Saccharomyces cerevisiae S288C: one gene and its partners. The protein of the gene in region 1 interacts with the protein of each later gene in a biochemical or structural test. Each region holds a gene or a part of one and is shown in the gene's direction. Other genes may lie near its edges.

What was found.
Region 2: the proteins of UFD2 (region 1) and UBC4 form a complex in vitro, tested with the Saccharomyces cerevisiae proteins (one study listed by BioGRID).
Region 3: the proteins of UFD2 (region 1) and RAD23 form a complex in vitro, tested with the Saccharomyces cerevisiae proteins (3 studies listed by BioGRID, with this or other methods).
Region 4: the proteins of UFD2 (region 1) and CDC48 form a complex in vitro, tested with the Saccharomyces cerevisiae proteins (5 studies listed by BioGRID, with this or other methods).

Annotation. Positions count from the first base shown.
Region 1 is NC_001136.10:118,003-123,554, reverse strand, and holds UFD2 (ubiquitin-ubiquitin ligase UFD2), read left to right. Parts: upstream 1-1,962; coding exon 1,963-4,848; downstream 4,849-5,552. Other genes in the region: RBS1 (Rbs1p), read right to left, coding at 1-1,339; 60S ribosomal protein uL29 RPL35A, read right to left, coding at 5,038-5,397. UniProt on the Saccharomyces cerevisiae protein: E4 ubiquitin chain-elongation enzyme specifically involved in polyubiquitin chain assembly.
Region 2 is NC_001134.8:406,128-409,025, reverse strand, and holds UBC4 (E2 ubiquitin-conjugating protein UBC4), read left to right. Parts: upstream 1-1,856; coding exon 1,857-1,903; intron 1,904-1,998; coding exon 1,999-2,398; downstream 2,399-2,898. UniProt on the Saccharomyces cerevisiae protein: E2 ubiquitin-conjugating enzyme that catalyzes the covalent attachment of ubiquitin to other proteins. Mediates the selective degradation of short-lived and abnormal proteins. Mediates ubiquitination of PEX5.
Region 3 is NC_001137.3:80,864-84,723, reverse strand, and holds RAD23 (Rad23p), read left to right. Parts: upstream 1-2,120; coding exon 2,121-3,317; downstream 3,318-3,860. Other genes in the region: ANP1 (Anp1p), read left to right, coding at 172-1,674; putative acireductone synthase UTR4, read right to left, coding at 3,579-3,860. UniProt on the Saccharomyces cerevisiae protein: Plays a central role both in proteasomal degradation of misfolded proteins and DNA repair.
Region 4 is NC_001136.10:235,496-240,525, reverse strand, and holds CDC48 (AAA family ATPase CDC48), read left to right. Parts: upstream 1-1,861; coding exon 1,862-4,369; downstream 4,370-5,030. Other genes in the region: YDL124W (aldo-keto reductase superfamily protein), read right to left, coding at 1-267; HNT1 (adenosine 5'-monophosphoramidase), read left to right, coding at 920-1,016, 1,128-1,507; cyclin PCL2, read right to left, coding at 4,673-5,030. UniProt on the Saccharomyces cerevisiae protein: ATP-dependent chaperone which probably uses the energy provided by ATP hydrolysis to generate mechanical force to unfold substrate proteins, disassemble protein complexes, and disaggregate protein aggregates.

The DNA of each region.
Region 1 (5,552 bases):
AATCAGTATCCCTAGATGACGGCGAACCCTCAACACTAGCCCTACGAATTCCCTCATTCTTATTACTGTTACTGTCATCACTACGTTTCGGAATCGCACCAGAATATGAATTTTTTCCTTGAAAATGGTGGTACTTATTTGCTGAGGATCTTGTGTAATTGTTAGAATTATAGCTTGGTGTATTGCTATATGGCCCGCTGTGATACTGAGTGTTATATTGGTATTGATATTGATATTGGTATGGGGGATACATAGGGATTGGGGTGCCAAACGAACAGGACCCTTGGGGATTCATATTGTACATGTAAGGGTTCATGAAGACTGTGTTATTGCCCATTACCATGGGTGAAGGTGCAGGACCGGGGGCAGGACCAGCGGGGTTATACATTAGAGGGTAGGTTGGCAGACTATTGCCACCCATTTGGGGAGGAGGATACACAAGATATGGCGAAGAATATCCCGATTGGTAACCGCCGTTTTCTTTATTCCGACGACTTTGGCCTCTATAGGCATCTTTGTAATTGTTTGTTCCTCTTCTTCTTCCTCCTCTTCCTCTTCGACTATCATAAAATTGTTGTTGAGGTTTGTTTACTTGTATCGTCGTCACAGATGAATTGAATGGTGATGAAGAGCTAACTGAACCGTTACTAGTTTGTGTGTTAGAGTCATCTCCGTTCAACCAATCACTCCATTCATTGTCACTATCACTACTACCGCTACTGTTGGTTGACTTTACATCGTCTTCACTCTTGTTGAGCTTATCAAAAATTTCTTGTTTACGTTGTTCATAAAGTCTTTCCTTCTCAATTCTTTCTTGTTCCAAATCAGTACTAGATTTATCATCGATTTCGATTTTTTGGTCCTTATTTGAATTGGCTGTCAAATTGCTATTTGGTGTACGTGTATTGCCATCGATTTTATAATCGCACTCGTTACCTACCTCTTTCCGCTTTAAGATTCGAAATATTCTGTTATTGTTCGATTTTTCAATACTCTCACTTGAGGAAGCACACTCTTCCGGTTTTTTGTTCAGCTGCAACTCTTGTAAGAGTGGCTTTCCTTCAATCTTTTGGAAATTCTCACCTTTGAAAAGAATCACACAACTATCTTGAGTTCTTGCCAAAACATGGTTCAAGTTGTGGTACTCAGCTATTTGGTGCGATAGAAGCCTATAATATGAATTCATCGGTCTTAGCTGAAATGATTCTGTGTTTGAGTTTATGAATGACACTATGGAATTTTCCAGCTCTATTATAAAGATACGGTCCTGTGGTTTCTGGAACAAGCCCGTTTCCATAGCGGGTGTCAATCCCCAGTTTCGAGAATCTAGTGCTGTCATCACCTACTTCTGCCCTAACTCCTTATATACTTGAAGAGACTTGAATATCTTAGTTGTTAGTACGATACGAAATAACTAAAAAATTAATTAAAATAAAATAAATCGTGCGCCCATTATAAGATGCACGTTTCAACATACTGTCACCACGGCTTGCTGGTACAATATGGCTCAATTGCCTACGCCAAAACTTGTCGAGTTGTATGTGAAAGAAAGAAGAAACAGATAGGCTAACCCGCATATGACACTAGCCAACGCTTCTTAATCGATATTCTTATTATATCAATATTATTTTGCGCTTAACGATTCATCCTTTCGTCGAGGACGCTATTTTGTCAGTATTCGTCAGAGGCGATAGTCTGTCTTTATTACAAAAGGTGAATTGAAGATCAAAGGTAGATTCTAACCATTGGCAACAAAATAATAGAGGTGTACGCCGCAATCATTGTTAATCATTAAGTAATTGCCATTTTATTCACATTTTTAGACTCAACCACTTGCTGTTGCCACAGTAAACGTTAATTATATCTTTGAGAATTGTGTCAGCCAATAGAAAGGTAAAGTTGACCACAAGTTGTTTAAGGGGAAAAGTTAACTTTGAAAGTAGAACCCTCATTCCATAGATCATGACCGCCATAGAAGATATTTTACAAATCACCACCGATCCTTCCGATACCCGTGGCTACTCTCTATTGAAGTCCGAGGAAGTGCCTCAAGGCTCAACTCTTGGAGTTGATTTTATTGATACGCTACTATTATATCAACTCACCGAGAATGAGAAGTTGGATAAACCGTTTGAATATTTGAACGATTGCTTTCGCCGTAATCAGCAACAAAAAAGAATCACCAAAAACAAGCCAAATGCTGAGTCATTACATTCCACTTTCCAAGAGATTGATCGTCTTGTCATTGGCTATGGTGTCGTTGCCTTACAAATAGAAAACTTTTGCATGAATGGTGCTTTCATCAATTATATCACTGGAATTGTTTCTAACGTTAACTCATATACTGATTTCCTTTCCCAAATCATTCAAAGAGCCATATTAGAAGGTACCGCTTTGGATTTACTTAACGCTGTTTTCCCGACATTATTAGAATACTGTAATAAACATGTCAGCCATTTTGATTTGAACGAATCTGTAATTTACAATAACGTTCTTACCATTTTTGAGTTATTTGTTACATTTAAACCTATTGCAGAAATATTCACTAAAATAGATGGTTTTTTTGCAGACTATAGCTGTAAACCACAGGATTTTGAAAGGAAAACGATATTGGGGCCTATTTTATCTCTTTCTCCCATAGAAGCTGCTGTGGCAATCCGGAACTACGGCGATAACCTTTTGCGTTCCAAACAACAGACAGCCATGATCCATGAATCTCTACAAGCTGAGCATAAAGTTGTCATAGATAGACTCTTTTTTATTGTCGATAAGCTTGTTCGTGGCTCCTTAAACTCAAGGACTGATATGATTAGTTATTTTGCCCATATCGCTAATAAAAACCATTTACGTAGAGCCGATCATCCACCATTCAAAGAACTATCCTCTAACGGATTTATGTCCAATATCACTTTGTTATTGGTTAGATTTTCTCAACCATTTCTAGATATTTCATATAAGAAAATCGACAAGATCGACGCAAATTACTTCAACAACCCAAGTTTATTTATTGATTTATCAGGGGAAACACGATTAAATTCTGATTTTAAAGAGGCAGATGCATTTTATGACAAGAACAGAAAAACAGCAGATTCTAAGCCAAACTTCATCTCTGATTGCTTTTTCTTGACATTAACCTATTTGCATTATGGTCTGGGAGGTACATTATCATTTGAAGAGAAGATGGGATCTGAAATCAAAGCGTTAAAGGAAGAAATTGAAAAAGTAAAGAAAATAGCTGCGAACCACGATGTCTTTGCCAGATTCATTACAGCACAATTATCCAAGATGGAGAAGGCGTTGAAAACAACAGAATCTTTGCGATTTGCTCTTCAAGGGTTCTTCGCTCATAGATCTCTTCAACTAGAGGTTTTCGACTTTATTTGTGGTGCATCTACGTTCTTGATTCGTGTTGTGGATCCTGAACACGAATTTCCGTTTAAACAAATTAAATTGCCATTAATTCCGGACCAAATAGGTGTTGAAAACGTGGACAACGCTGATTTTTTGAGAGCGCATGCTCCAGTGCCTTTTAAATACTATCCAGAATTTGTTGTAGAAGGTCCAGTTAACTATTCTCTATACATTTCGAAGTACCAGACCTCTCCAATCTTCAGAAATCCACGTCTGGGATCGTTTGTTGAGTTTACAACAATGGTCCTCCGTTGTCCTGAATTGGTTTCCAACCCACATTTAAAAGGTAAATTAGTGCAGTTATTAAGCGTTGGTGCTATGCCTCTAACAGACAATTCCCCCGGATTCATGATGGATATATTCGAACACGACGAATTAGTTAACAAGAATCTGTTATATGCTCTACTAGACTTTTATGTTATTGTTGAAAAAACAGGCTCTTCTTCACAATTTTACGATAAATTCAACAGCAGATATAGCATATCAATAATTTTGGAGGAGCTTTATTACAAGATACCATCTTATAAAAACCAATTGATCTGGCAGTCTCAAAACAATGCTGACTTTTTTGTGAGGTTCGTTGCTCGTATGTTGAATGACTTGACTTTCCTGTTGGATGAAGGCCTAAGTAATTTGGCTGAGGTGCATAATATCCAAAATGAGCTGGATAATCGTGCAAGGGGCGCGCCACCAACAAGAGAGGAAGAGGACAAAGAACTACAAACAAGATTGGCGTCTGCTTCCAGGCAAGCTAAGTCCTCGTGTGGATTGGCCGATAAATCGATGAAACTGTTCGAAATCTATTCGAAGGATATACCGGCTGCATTTGTCACACCAGAAATCGTATATAGACTGGCAAGTATGCTAAACTATAACTTAGAGTCACTTGTCGGTCCCAAATGCGGGGAACTAAAAGTGAAAGACCCACAAAGTTATTCATTCAACCCAAAAGATTTGTTGAAAGCCTTAACAACTGTTTATATCAATCTTTCCGAGCAATCAGAGTTCATCAGTGCTGTCGCTAAAGATGAAAGATCATTTAATAGAAATCTCTTTGTTCGCGCAGTTGATATTCTTGGTAGAAAAACTGGTTTAGCATCTCCAGAGTTCATCGAAAAACTATTGAACTTTGCCAATAAAGCCGAAGAGCAAAGAAAGGCTGATGAAGAGGAAGATCTTGAGTATGGTGATGTTCCTGACGAGTTCTTAGATCCTTTGATGTACACAATTATGAAGGATCCTGTCATTTTACCAGCATCCAAGATGAATATTGATAGAAGCACGATCAAAGCACATCTGCTTAGTGACTCTACTGACCCGTTTAATAGAATGCCTTTAAAACTAGAGGATGTAACACCTAATGAAGAGTTAAGGCAAAAGATTCTTTGTTTCAAAAAACAAAAAAAGGAAGAAGCAAAACATAAAGCAAGCGAGTGAATGAATAAGTGATAGAATAAATTGCAAAATTGACCCTAATCAAATAAGGCTTATTTCATCGCTCAATGTGTCTTATATTTTGAAGATTTTCGATGAAAATGTTTTAATTTAACAATTATTTAAAAGGTGCTAGAAAAACGTAGAAAAGTTGGAACTATAGATAATGATAGTATATAATTGAACTTCCAATTAAGCCTTAATAGCGTACTTTCTTTGTGGGAAAGCGATTTGCTTCTTTCTTTGCTTTTCGGTAACTTGGGAAGCTTCGAATTTGGTCAAAGCTCTTCTCAAAGCTCTGGTCTTCTTGGCTCTCAAGTCCTTTGGTTGGTACTTCTTACCCTTGTATAATTGTCTAACAGCTTCTCTTTGTTGTTCGTTGATGACGGTCAAGACACAGGCGATACTCTTTCTGACGGTCTTGATCTTTGGCAAAGATGGTCTGGACAACTTTTGGACCTTCAATTCAGCCAACTCCTTTTTCAAGTCAACCAATTGAGAAGCCAATTGTTCCTTGGATTTGGTTCTTAGTTCGTAAGCTTTAACACCGGCCTATTAATAGGATAAAAAATGAAATAATATTCCAAATTTTTATTAACGTTAGTATTTTATTAGCACTTATAATGAACTAACAAGCACAGGCATCATATATCCCTCGTAACAGAGAAAAAAAACCAATAACTAATTTATTTCGTTGGAAGGCTTTT
Region 2 (2,898 bases), on another chromosome or scaffold:
CAAGCCTTTTGTTTCAAACTTAATATATACCTCTGCGGGGGAATTACTTTTTTGGTAATAAGCTATTTTCTCCAGCTATGGGCCGTACCATCGAGAGAAACTCCAGCACCATGGATTGCTGATGGTAGCTACAGGTGCTTTTTAACTGTGCATGAGCCAAGAGCCTTGTGAGGGACCATTCGTGGAGTCCAGCTCAGCTTGTTTCCGGAGAGTTTCCCAGAATAATAAGCAAACGCAATCTGAAACACGCACATTCCCGAATTCAATGGGAAATTCTTTGAGTCGTACGCGGAATGCGAGCGGTGCCGGGGAATTCCAATGAGGCTGATTAAACCGGACTACGGGCAAAATGGCTCATCTGAAACACCTTGCGCCGATAAAAGACCCTCACCTGTGTCACTAAATGGAAAGAGTTGGCGTAAAATCTTCCTGTAAAAGGATCTCACCATTTTGGCCTAAAACATCATCATATCTGTTTTCGTGGAAAAAAAAGGCCGCTCATACATGAATACAGTGGGCACATGCCACCTGTTATTCCATAGCTGGCTTTACTGTAATATTAGAATAGTTCCTATCTGTGTGAAAAGTTTCTTTCGTTACCTTTTTTTCAGAGTCAAAAGCTGGAGGAGGCTATTGTACTTGCCTGTAGTTCCAGGTAACAATCGCTTAAGCAGTGAGCCCGCTTAATGAGAGCAAGTTATATATGTTTTGCTAAAACCTGCCAGATTCTCAGCCTAGAAGATATAAATCTAACGTGGATTTGTTACAGGCTGTCATACCTTATGTACTTACGCATCGTATCTTGTATGTGTTCACTTTTTTCTGGTAACTACACCACTTGGCTTAACCTTGCCAGGAACCGAGTAGGCCACACATGTTTTGAATATTGTAAGTGTGTACAATAAGCTGCAGTACTCTTTTGATTCTGTAGGAAACCAGCGAAGAACGTACTCTTGCCTGAAGAGAAGTTTTTTTTATTTATTTATATTTTGTTCTGGAAGCTCTTTACAGAATGGAGTAGGAAAATATATAGAGAGGAAAAGCGAAATCGTTACGAGAATAAATAATCAAGAAAAGAAACTTGAACTTGGCTTTTCCAAAACAACAGAAGTAGCGTTAATTTACTTTCACCGTAAAATTCAACTCTTTAAATATAGTCCACTTAGTAAATTCTTGCCAATTTGCATGATAAATTCGAACCCATTCCTCAAAATAAAGGGTCCTCATACATTCCATGGAAAGAAAGTTTTCTTGAACATTAAGAATAAAAAGGCAAAAAAGAAAAAAAAAAGCACAGCTACTGTTTTAGTCAACATTCCTTTCTCACTGGAATGCACAAGGTGTCATTCCTGAACAAGGGTAACTGCACTATTCATATGTCCACCTTATGACTTCATAAAAAGTTTGACAATAAGTAGTCTTACGTGATAAGAAATGATGTAACATAAGGCTAATGTCCTTATTCCAAAGTATCTCATTTATACAATAAACAAAACTGATCTTACCGCCTATCCTCCTCTCCGCACTAATCAATTGTTATAGTTTTTCTCGAAGCGAGGATCAAATGGCCGAGCAACAGGAAAAGGAGTACCGGCGGTCACATGGTCTGCGAGATTTTTCCCGCTGCGGAAAAACCTGGCAACAGCTCACCTTGAAAGGCCTTGGCCTGTATTTTTCTTTTTTCTTCATCCTTCTTTCTTTTTCTTTATTCTTATTTTTCATCTTAATAAATAATCCAGAGAATAAATCTATCCTGAAAAAAAATAAAGTAAAGAAGCCAGGAAAATCACTATCGCCACAAGTAAATAAATTTCACTGACTATAGAGTACATACATAAACAAGCATCCAAAAAAACATGTCTTCTTCTAAACGTATTGCTAAAGAACTAAGTGATCTAGAAAGGTATGTCTAAAGTTATGGCCACGTTTCAAATGCGTGCTTTTTTTTTAAAACTTATGCTCTTATTTACTAACAAAATCAACATGCTATTGAACTAGAGATCCACCTACTTCATGTTCAGCCGGTCCAGTCGGCGATGATCTATATCACTGGCAAGCATCCATCATGGGACCTGCCGATTCCCCATATGCCGGCGGTGTTTTCTTCTTGTCTATCCATTTCCCAACCGACTACCCATTCAAGCCACCAAAGATCTCCTTCACAACCAAGATATATCATCCAAATATCAATGCCAATGGTAACATCTGTCTGGACATCCTAAAGGATCAATGGTCTCCAGCTCTAACTCTATCGAAGGTCCTATTATCCATCTGTTCTTTGTTAACAGACGCTAATCCTGACGATCCTTTAGTACCAGAAATCGCTCATATCTACAAGACTGACAGACCCAAGTACGAAGCTACAGCCAGAGAATGGACAAAGAAATACGCTGTATAAACAGAAGTCCTTACTCAGCTGAAAAAGAGAAGCAAGATTTATATGGGATTGGACGATGAAAAGAATATTAGATACAATGTATTTAAGAAAGAATACAATAAAATATATGTATATTCTATCTCTAATAACATAGATTTACTGATATAAGATATAAGACTATTGTTGGCAACAGTACAGGGGAACCTTTTTTTTTTTTTCCAAACAACTCGAATCGTAAACCTTAATTTAATTTATTCAGGGGAGATTCATGAACATTTTTTTCCTCGAACAGTATGGAGAATTTTTGCTTAGTTACATGCACGCAAGCGCGGGTATATCCCGCATATATTTCAGTTGTGGTTCATATTTGACCTAACTTGTCGAGGGAGCGTCAACGTTAACCGTACCTTTTTCATTTCTAGTCTATCTGTAGGTTAATTACTATTGTCATTAACATCATTTCTGGGGTGAAGCCTATTTAAATTTTTGAAGTTCAACGCATAGCTAGTATATGTAATCAA
Region 3 (3,860 bases), on another chromosome or scaffold:
AAATAACTACACGATTCAAAAACGCCAAGATCTGTTAGTAGAGACAGCAAGCATTGCAAAACCATTCATCACTCAGTTGCTAGGCGAGTGTTGGTGCGATTTACCCTCATCATCTTTTTTTCGCTCCATTAAACAGTTCCTTGTGGCTTTCATGCAAAGTGTACGTCCATAATGAAGTATAATAACAGAAAACTCTCGTTCAACCCTACCACAGTAAGTATCGCTGGAACGTTGCTTACGGTGTTCTTTCTCACAAGACTCGTGCTTTCGTTCTTCTCGATATCGCTATTCCAGCTGGTAACTTTCCAAGGAATCTTCAAGCCCTATGTTCCAGATTTTAAAAATACTCCCAGCGTAGAGTTCTACGACCTACGAAATTACCAAGGCAACAAAGATGGTTGGCAACAGGGTGACCGCATCTTGTTTTGCGTGCCACTGAGAGATGCTTCTGAGCATCTTCCCATGTTTTTTAACCATCTGAATACCATGACATATCCGCACAACCTGATTGATCTGTCGTTTTTGGTGAGTGACTCTTCGGATAACACCATGGGCGTGTTACTATCCAATCTACAGATGGCGCAATCGCAACAAGACAAGTCCAAAAGGTTTGGTAACATCGAAATCTATGAGAAGGACTTCGGCCAAATCATTGGTCAGTCCTTTTCTGATCGTCACGGGTTTGGCGCCCAGGGCCCCAGAAGAAAGCTGATGGCCAGGGCTCGTAATTGGCTTGGGTCCGTGGCCCTGAAACCATACCACTCCTGGGTTTACTGGAGAGACGTGGATGTCGAAACCATCCCCACTACCATCATGGAGGATCTAATGCATCACGACAAGGACGTCATTGTCCCCAACGTCTGGAGACCTTTACCAGACTGGCTGGGAAACATTCAACCCTACGATTTAAATTCATGGAAGGAATCAGAAGGGGGTCTTCAATTGGCGGATTCCCTAGACGAAGATGCTGTCATTGTGGAAGGGTACCCAGAGTACGCCACTTGGAGACCTCACCTGGCATACATGAGAGACCCAAACGGTAATCCAGAAGACGAAATGGAATTGGACGGTATTGGAGGGGTCTCGATTCTCGCGAAAGCTAAAGTATTCAGAACAGGCTCACACTTTCCTGCATTCTCCTTTGAAAAGCACGCAGAGACAGAAGCATTCGGTAGGCTCTCCCGCAGGATGAATTACAATGTCATCGGCTTGCCCCATTATGTCATCTGGCACATCTACGAACCTTCCAGCGACGACTTAAAGCACATGGCTTGGATGGCTGAAGAGGAGAAGCGGAAACTAGAAGAAGAGAGAATTCGCGAATTTTACAACAAGATCTGGGAGATTGGATTTGAAGATGTCAGAGACCAATGGAACGAAGAAAGAGATTCAATCTTAAAAAACATTGACTCCACTTTGAACAATAAAGTCACTGTAGACTGGTCTGAAGAGGGAGATGGCTCGGAGCTGGTGGACTCAAAGGGTGACTTTGTCTCACCAAACAACCAACAACAACAACAACAGCAACAACAACAACAACAGCAGCAGCAGCAACAGCAACAGCAACAACAGCTCGACGGCAACCCGCAGGGGAAACCTCTTGATGACAACGACAAGAACAAGAAAAAACATCCTAAAGAAGTTCCATTAGACTTCGACCCTGATAGAAACTAGGCTCGGTTTTTTAGTGACCTACATATGAAGTACGAATTCATATAGTTGTACATATATACCGATAATAATATCAAACCTCTATTCTTTGGTCTTTAACTTTTCTTTGAGTGAATTACAATACCATTGTTATATCAATCACTATACACGGCTCGGTGGCGAAATTGAAATTTTTTTATTTTCTTCTCTTTCATTATGGCTAGGCAAGAAATAGCGACAGCAAAACTTAAGAAAAAATGATAGAACAAGGTCCCATCCAGTATTGACTAGTAGCTAAAGCTAGAAGGTACACTTAGGTTTTTCTCCCTGTTTTTAAGTTTGAACCATTGATAAGGCCGTTCGCAGACAAGCTTGCTACCATCCAATTTTCCTTCCTCTAAAGACTTAATAAAGGCATCTAACTCCACCTTTAAATCACAGATCACACAAAGACAACATACAATAGAAAAATGGTTAGCTTAACCTTTAAAAATTTCAAGAAGGAAAAAGTTCCTTTAGATCTGGAACCTTCAAACACAATTTTAGAGACCAAGACCAAGCTTGCTCAATCCATTTCTTGTGAAGAATCTCAAATAAAACTGATCTACTCGGGTAAAGTGCTACAAGATTCCAAAACCGTATCGGAATGCGGGCTAAAAGATGGGGACCAAGTTGTCTTCATGGTTTCTCAAAAAAAGTCCACGAAGACCAAAGTAACAGAACCTCCAATTGCTCCTGAGAGCGCCACTACCCCCGGAAGAGAAAATTCTACAGAAGCATCCCCCAGTACGGATGCTTCTGCAGCTCCTGCAGCCACTGCTCCCGAAGGCTCACAACCGCAAGAAGAACAAACCGCCACTACAGAACGTACTGAATCTGCCTCTACACCGGGATTCGTGGTGGGAACCGAGAGGAACGAGACCATCGAGAGAATCATGGAAATGGGCTACCAAAGAGAGGAAGTCGAACGAGCCTTGAGAGCAGCCTTTAATAATCCAGATAGAGCGGTGGAATATCTACTGATGGGTATTCCAGAAAATCTGCGTCAACCGGAACCACAGCAACAAACAGCCGCCGCAGCGGAACAACCATCGACAGCCGCCACCACTGCGGAACAACCGGCTGAAGACGACTTATTTGCACAAGCTGCCCAAGGCGGTAATGCTTCATCCGGTGCGCTTGGCACAACTGGAGGAGCTACAGATGCTGCGCAAGGTGGACCTCCAGGTTCCATTGGCCTCACTGTAGAAGATTTACTATCGTTGAGACAGGTCGTTTCAGGTAACCCAGAAGCTTTAGCCCCATTGTTGGAAAACATAAGTGCTAGATATCCTCAATTACGTGAACATATCATGGCAAACCCAGAAGTGTTTGTGTCCATGTTGCTAGAAGCCGTGGGTGACAATATGCAAGATGTTATGGAAGGTGCGGATGATATGGTGGAAGGAGAGGATATAGAAGTTACAGGAGAGGCTGCTGCTGCAGGACTGGGACAAGGTGAAGGTGAAGGTTCTTTCCAAGTTGACTATACCCCCGAAGACGATCAAGCTATTTCGCGCCTCTGTGAATTGGGCTTTGAAAGAGATCTTGTTATCCAGGTGTATTTTGCGTGCGATAAAAACGAAGAAGCTGCAGCAAATATTCTATTCAGCGATCATGCCGACTGAGATTGTAGTAATGTTATGGCTTGAAGTATCTTCACTTATTCTCGACAATGTTGCATGATTTTTGAGCCAAGGGAAAAAAAAAGCTTACGTAGAAATCAATAACGTATGTGTATTTATATATGCTAGAAGGGAAAGAAAAGAAAACAGAGAGATGGTAATATTAATCTCAATAATAATAATAATAATAATAATAACAATAATAATAATAATAACAACAACAAATAATGATTATACTGCTTTTAGCGCATATATACAGTTTTGTTAAAGAGTTTCAAAATTCTTGTATACCTGGTACTTTTGCCCATCGGGGACAGGTGCATTACCAGGTCGGGAAGCTAACCCAGTAGCTATTCCAACGCCGGCCGCTGCGTCCAATTCCAATGGATTATCGCTCAAGAACAGTACCTCGCTAGCCTTCGCACCGATATCCCGCAAGATGTTGGCGTAAGACTGTGTTTCGGTTTTCTTTCCAGAAGTGTTGATGTCGAAATAACCATCTATATAAGAATTCAAATCCAACGAATCATGCGCAGGCGCGTTGGG
Region 4 (5,030 bases), 120 kb from region 1:
CTTGTCTGTCAAGAATATTGCATTTCTTGGTTTTTCGGTGAGGCTAAGTGCCTTCCCAACTTCTGGATATGTTCTGTAGATCTCAGCAGCATCAATGTGAATAATGCCAGGTAACTTCAGAGCATAAACAATCTGTTCGACCAAACTGTTCGAAAAGGTAGCATCCGTTTCTTCGTTTTTATACCATCTAGTACCTGTCCCAATGATGGCGATTGCGGGGATTTTATTTCCATTATTCAAGGTAAAGAACTGTTGGTGAAATGACATCTGTAAAAGTGTTGTTAACTGACCTCCGTTTCTTTAGGGTAACACAACCGTTTACATGTGTATCCATATCCACGTAGTATCCGACTATCAATATATCCGTATATATATATATATATATATGGGATGAGCGTATGTGAGTGTTTTCGTAGATATTCAAAATACGAGTAAAGGAGATCCTAGGTGTGGATTAGTAAGGGGAGTGTGGCAACTTCCTTTTTCCGGTTAATTCTCCGCGCTTTCGTTAGACTATTTTGCAAGGACCCAAATAGGAGACGCATGGAGGCTTCTACAAAACAGCGTGCCGTTTTGATGGCATGAGCAGGGGGCGCAAAGGAAACACCGGTAAATCGCGCAAGACCTTGTTGGCCACGTAGCCTCAAAGGTTGAATTGACACTTGTCTACAGAACTTGAAAAGTACAAAAGGAGGTCACATAAAACAGTAAGCTTGAGAAGCTTTAAGATATGGTGCGAATCGTTACAGAATATTCCTTGCAGAAATAATGGCGGGTCCGTTCTCTTCTGAAGAAGTTACCGCCCTACTGAAGCATTGCTGTACGATCGTGTAATGTGATGTGTGTTCGACTGGAAAGCGGAGAACATTATGAAGTAAAAGGACAATCAGCACGCCTTCCAGACTTTTAAGAAACATTGATGGAGCCATTGATATCGGCACCGTACCTAACAACAACAAAAATGTCTGCTCCTGCTACGCTTGATGCTGCCTGTATTTTTTGCAAGATTATTAAAAGTATGTCACATTACTAATAAAGAGCTTACACTCACACCAATGATGGCGATAGTCTCTATGTAGTACATATACATAAAGCAGAATACTAACAATCGATCCGCTATGCAACAGGCGAAATTCCATCCTTCAAATTGATTGAAACAAAGTACTCGTATGCTTTCTTGGACATCCAACCTACTGCTGAAGGTCATGCTTTAATCATTCCTAAGTACCATGGTGCGAAGTTGCATGACATCCCGGACGAATTCCTTACCGATGCTATGCCGATTGCCAAGAGACTGGCCAAGGCAATGAAGTTGGACACTTATAATGTGTTGCAGAATAATGGTAAAATTGCGCATCAAGAAGTCGACCACGTCCACTTCCATTTGATTCCTAAGAGAGATGAGAAAAGTGGTTTGATTGTAGGGTGGCCAGCCCAAGAAACGGACTTCGATAAGTTGGGCAAGCTACACAAGGAATTGCTTGCCAAACTAGAAGGCTCCGATTAGAGTAATGCATGCTATGATTTCTTTTAGCGTTTTCTTTTCATATTTAAGTTTATACATATGGGTGTGTTTGCTTCCATTCATATCCACTCTATAATGCTAACAATCATGTTACTAGCCATCGTTGCTATCGATACCTTATGAACAGCTCTAACTCCTTCCTTTTTAACCTACCGCCTTTTGCGCACTACCCGGCAACCCCTCGAATGTGAATTCGGTGGCAAAAAAGGACATATATCAGGGCCGTGTATTTAAGAGATCCGCAGTTGATGTAGTCAATTAATCTAGTTCTATTAAGATTTGACTCAACGCCATTGACTCGATAACTGGCTCAACTACAAGACAGATATACAAATCATGGGTGAAGAACATAAACCACTTTTGGACGCCTCGGGTGTCGACCCTCGTGAGGAGGATAAAACCGCCACCGCCATTTTAAGAAGAAAGAAGAAGGACAACATGCTTTTGGTGGACGATGCTATCAATGATGACAATTCTGTCATTGCTATTAATTCTAACACCATGGACAAATTGGAATTGTTCCGTGGTGACACCGTTCTCGTTAAGGGCAAGAAGAGAAAAGATACTGTCTTAATTGTGTTGATCGATGACGAATTAGAAGACGGAGCATGCAGGATAAACCGTGTAGTTCGTAACAATTTACGTATTAGGCTGGGTGATTTAGTTACAATTCATCCTTGCCCCGATATCAAATACGCTACTAGAATTTCTGTGTTACCAATTGCTGATACGATCGAAGGTATAACTGGTAATCTTTTCGATGTTTTTTTGAAGCCTTATTTTGTGGAAGCCTACAGACCAGTGAGGAAAGGCGACCATTTTGTTGTCAGAGGCGGTATGAGACAAGTCGAATTCAAGGTTGTGGATGTCGAACCTGAAGAATATGCCGTCGTTGCTCAGGATACTATTATTCACTGGGAAGGTGAGCCAATCAACAGGGAAGATGAAGAAAATAATATGAATGAGGTGGGTTACGATGATATTGGTGGTTGTCGTAAGCAAATGGCTCAAATTAGGGAAATGGTTGAACTACCATTGAGACATCCTCAGTTGTTCAAGGCTATCGGTATCAAGCCACCAAGAGGTGTTTTGATGTATGGTCCCCCTGGTACTGGTAAAACCTTGATGGCAAGAGCTGTTGCTAATGAGACCGGTGCCTTTTTTTTCTTAATTAATGGTCCAGAAGTCATGTCAAAAATGGCTGGTGAATCAGAGTCTAACTTAAGAAAGGCCTTTGAAGAAGCCGAAAAGAACGCTCCAGCCATCATTTTTATCGATGAAATCGATTCTATAGCTCCAAAGAGAGACAAGACTAATGGTGAAGTTGAGAGAAGAGTTGTCTCTCAATTGTTAACTTTAATGGATGGTATGAAGGCAAGATCTAATGTTGTTGTCATTGCTGCTACCAATAGACCAAATTCGATTGATCCCGCTTTAAGAAGATTTGGTAGATTCGATCGTGAAGTCGACATTGGTATCCCAGATGCTACAGGTAGACTTGAAGTTCTACGTATTCACACCAAGAACATGAAGTTGGCTGATGATGTTGATTTGGAAGCATTGGCTGCTGAAACACACGGTTACGTGGGTGCTGATATTGCCTCTTTGTGTTCTGAAGCTGCCATGCAACAGATCCGTGAAAAAATGGACTTGATAGATTTAGATGAAGATGAAATTGATGCAGAGGTGCTCGATTCTTTAGGAGTCACCATGGACAACTTCAGATTCGCATTGGGCAATTCAAACCCATCTGCATTGCGTGAAACCGTTGTTGAAAGTGTCAATGTTACTTGGGATGACGTTGGTGGCCTAGATGAAATCAAGGAGGAATTGAAGGAAACTGTAGAATACCCAGTCTTACATCCAGACCAATACACAAAGTTTGGGTTATCACCATCAAAGGGTGTGTTGTTCTACGGTCCACCAGGTACAGGTAAAACTTTGTTAGCAAAAGCTGTAGCTACTGAGGTTTCTGCCAACTTTATCTCAGTCAAAGGTCCAGAATTATTGAGTATGTGGTATGGTGAATCGGAATCTAACATCCGTGATATTTTTGATAAGGCAAGAGCAGCTGCACCAACCGTCGTTTTTCTAGATGAATTAGACTCCATTGCCAAGGCAAGAGGTGGTTCCTTGGGTGATGCTGGTGGTGCTTCGGATAGAGTCGTCAACCAACTATTAACAGAAATGGATGGTATGAATGCTAAGAAAAATGTGTTCGTGATTGGTGCCACCAATAGGCCAGATCAAATTGATCCTGCTATTTTAAGACCTGGCAGATTGGATCAATTAATTTATGTTCCATTGCCAGATGAAAACGCTAGATTATCTATTCTAAATGCTCAATTAAGGAAAACACCACTAGAACCAGGGCTAGAGTTAACTGCGATTGCCAAGGCCACTCAAGGTTTCTCTGGTGCTGATTTACTCTATATTGTGCAGAGGGCTGCTAAATACGCTATCAAGGATTCTATCGAAGCTCACAGACAACACGAAGCTGAAAAGGAAGTGAAAGTAGAAGGTGAAGACGTGGAAATGACAGATGAGGGAGCAAAGGCTGAACAAGAACCAGAAGTAGATCCTGTTCCATATATTACAAAGGAGCATTTCGCAGAAGCTATGAAGACCGCTAAACGTTCTGTTTCAGATGCTGAATTGCGTCGTTATGAAGCATACTCACAGCAAATGAAAGCATCTAGAGGTCAATTCAGTAATTTCAACTTTAATGACGCTCCATTAGGTACTACGGCTACGGACAATGCTAACAGTAATAATAGTGCTCCAAGTGGAGCAGGTGCTGCATTTGGTTCTAATGCGGAGGAAGATGATGATTTGTATAGTTAGTTATATGCCAGGTATATTTTTATTTTAAATCGTAAATTCAAGTCATTTCTATAAAAAAAATCGTCAATTTTAACTCAATATTTTATGGCCCTTTTTATATTTATTTTCAAATTTGTCAAAAAAAGGAGAGCTAAATCATTAGAAAAAGAATGCATTATGGTATATTTATGTATATTAATATGTAAAATAAGAAAAAAGGGAGGCTGTAGGACCTCGGTCGTAAGAACATTTACCTGTGTTCTTCCGCCTTTTCCGAAAGTGCCATGAAGAAACGCAGGCCAGGCATAATTTCGACATTTAAAATCACGATTTGAAGTAATTTGACCAATTCGATTTCTTTACTTTTGTATCTTCTTTTATTATCTGTTTGTTTAACCCAGTTTTCAAGATCACAGGGCGCGCTTTACTAAAATTAAAAGGCTTAATTGTCGGTATTGGCCTATTTTCCTTGTTATCGTGTTTGGAGTCTATGTTGTATGTTCGCGGAGAAAACTTGTCGCTAATGTTATTGGATTCGTGTAGTTCGGGCAAAGTTCGTATTCTGTTACTATAATTGGATAAATTCGATCTTCTAGATTCCAACGTGGAGAGGGTCGAAGTGGAAGCTAAAGATGGGATAGACATATTGGACGATGAGCGCGAATGGGAAATGGATGTTTTG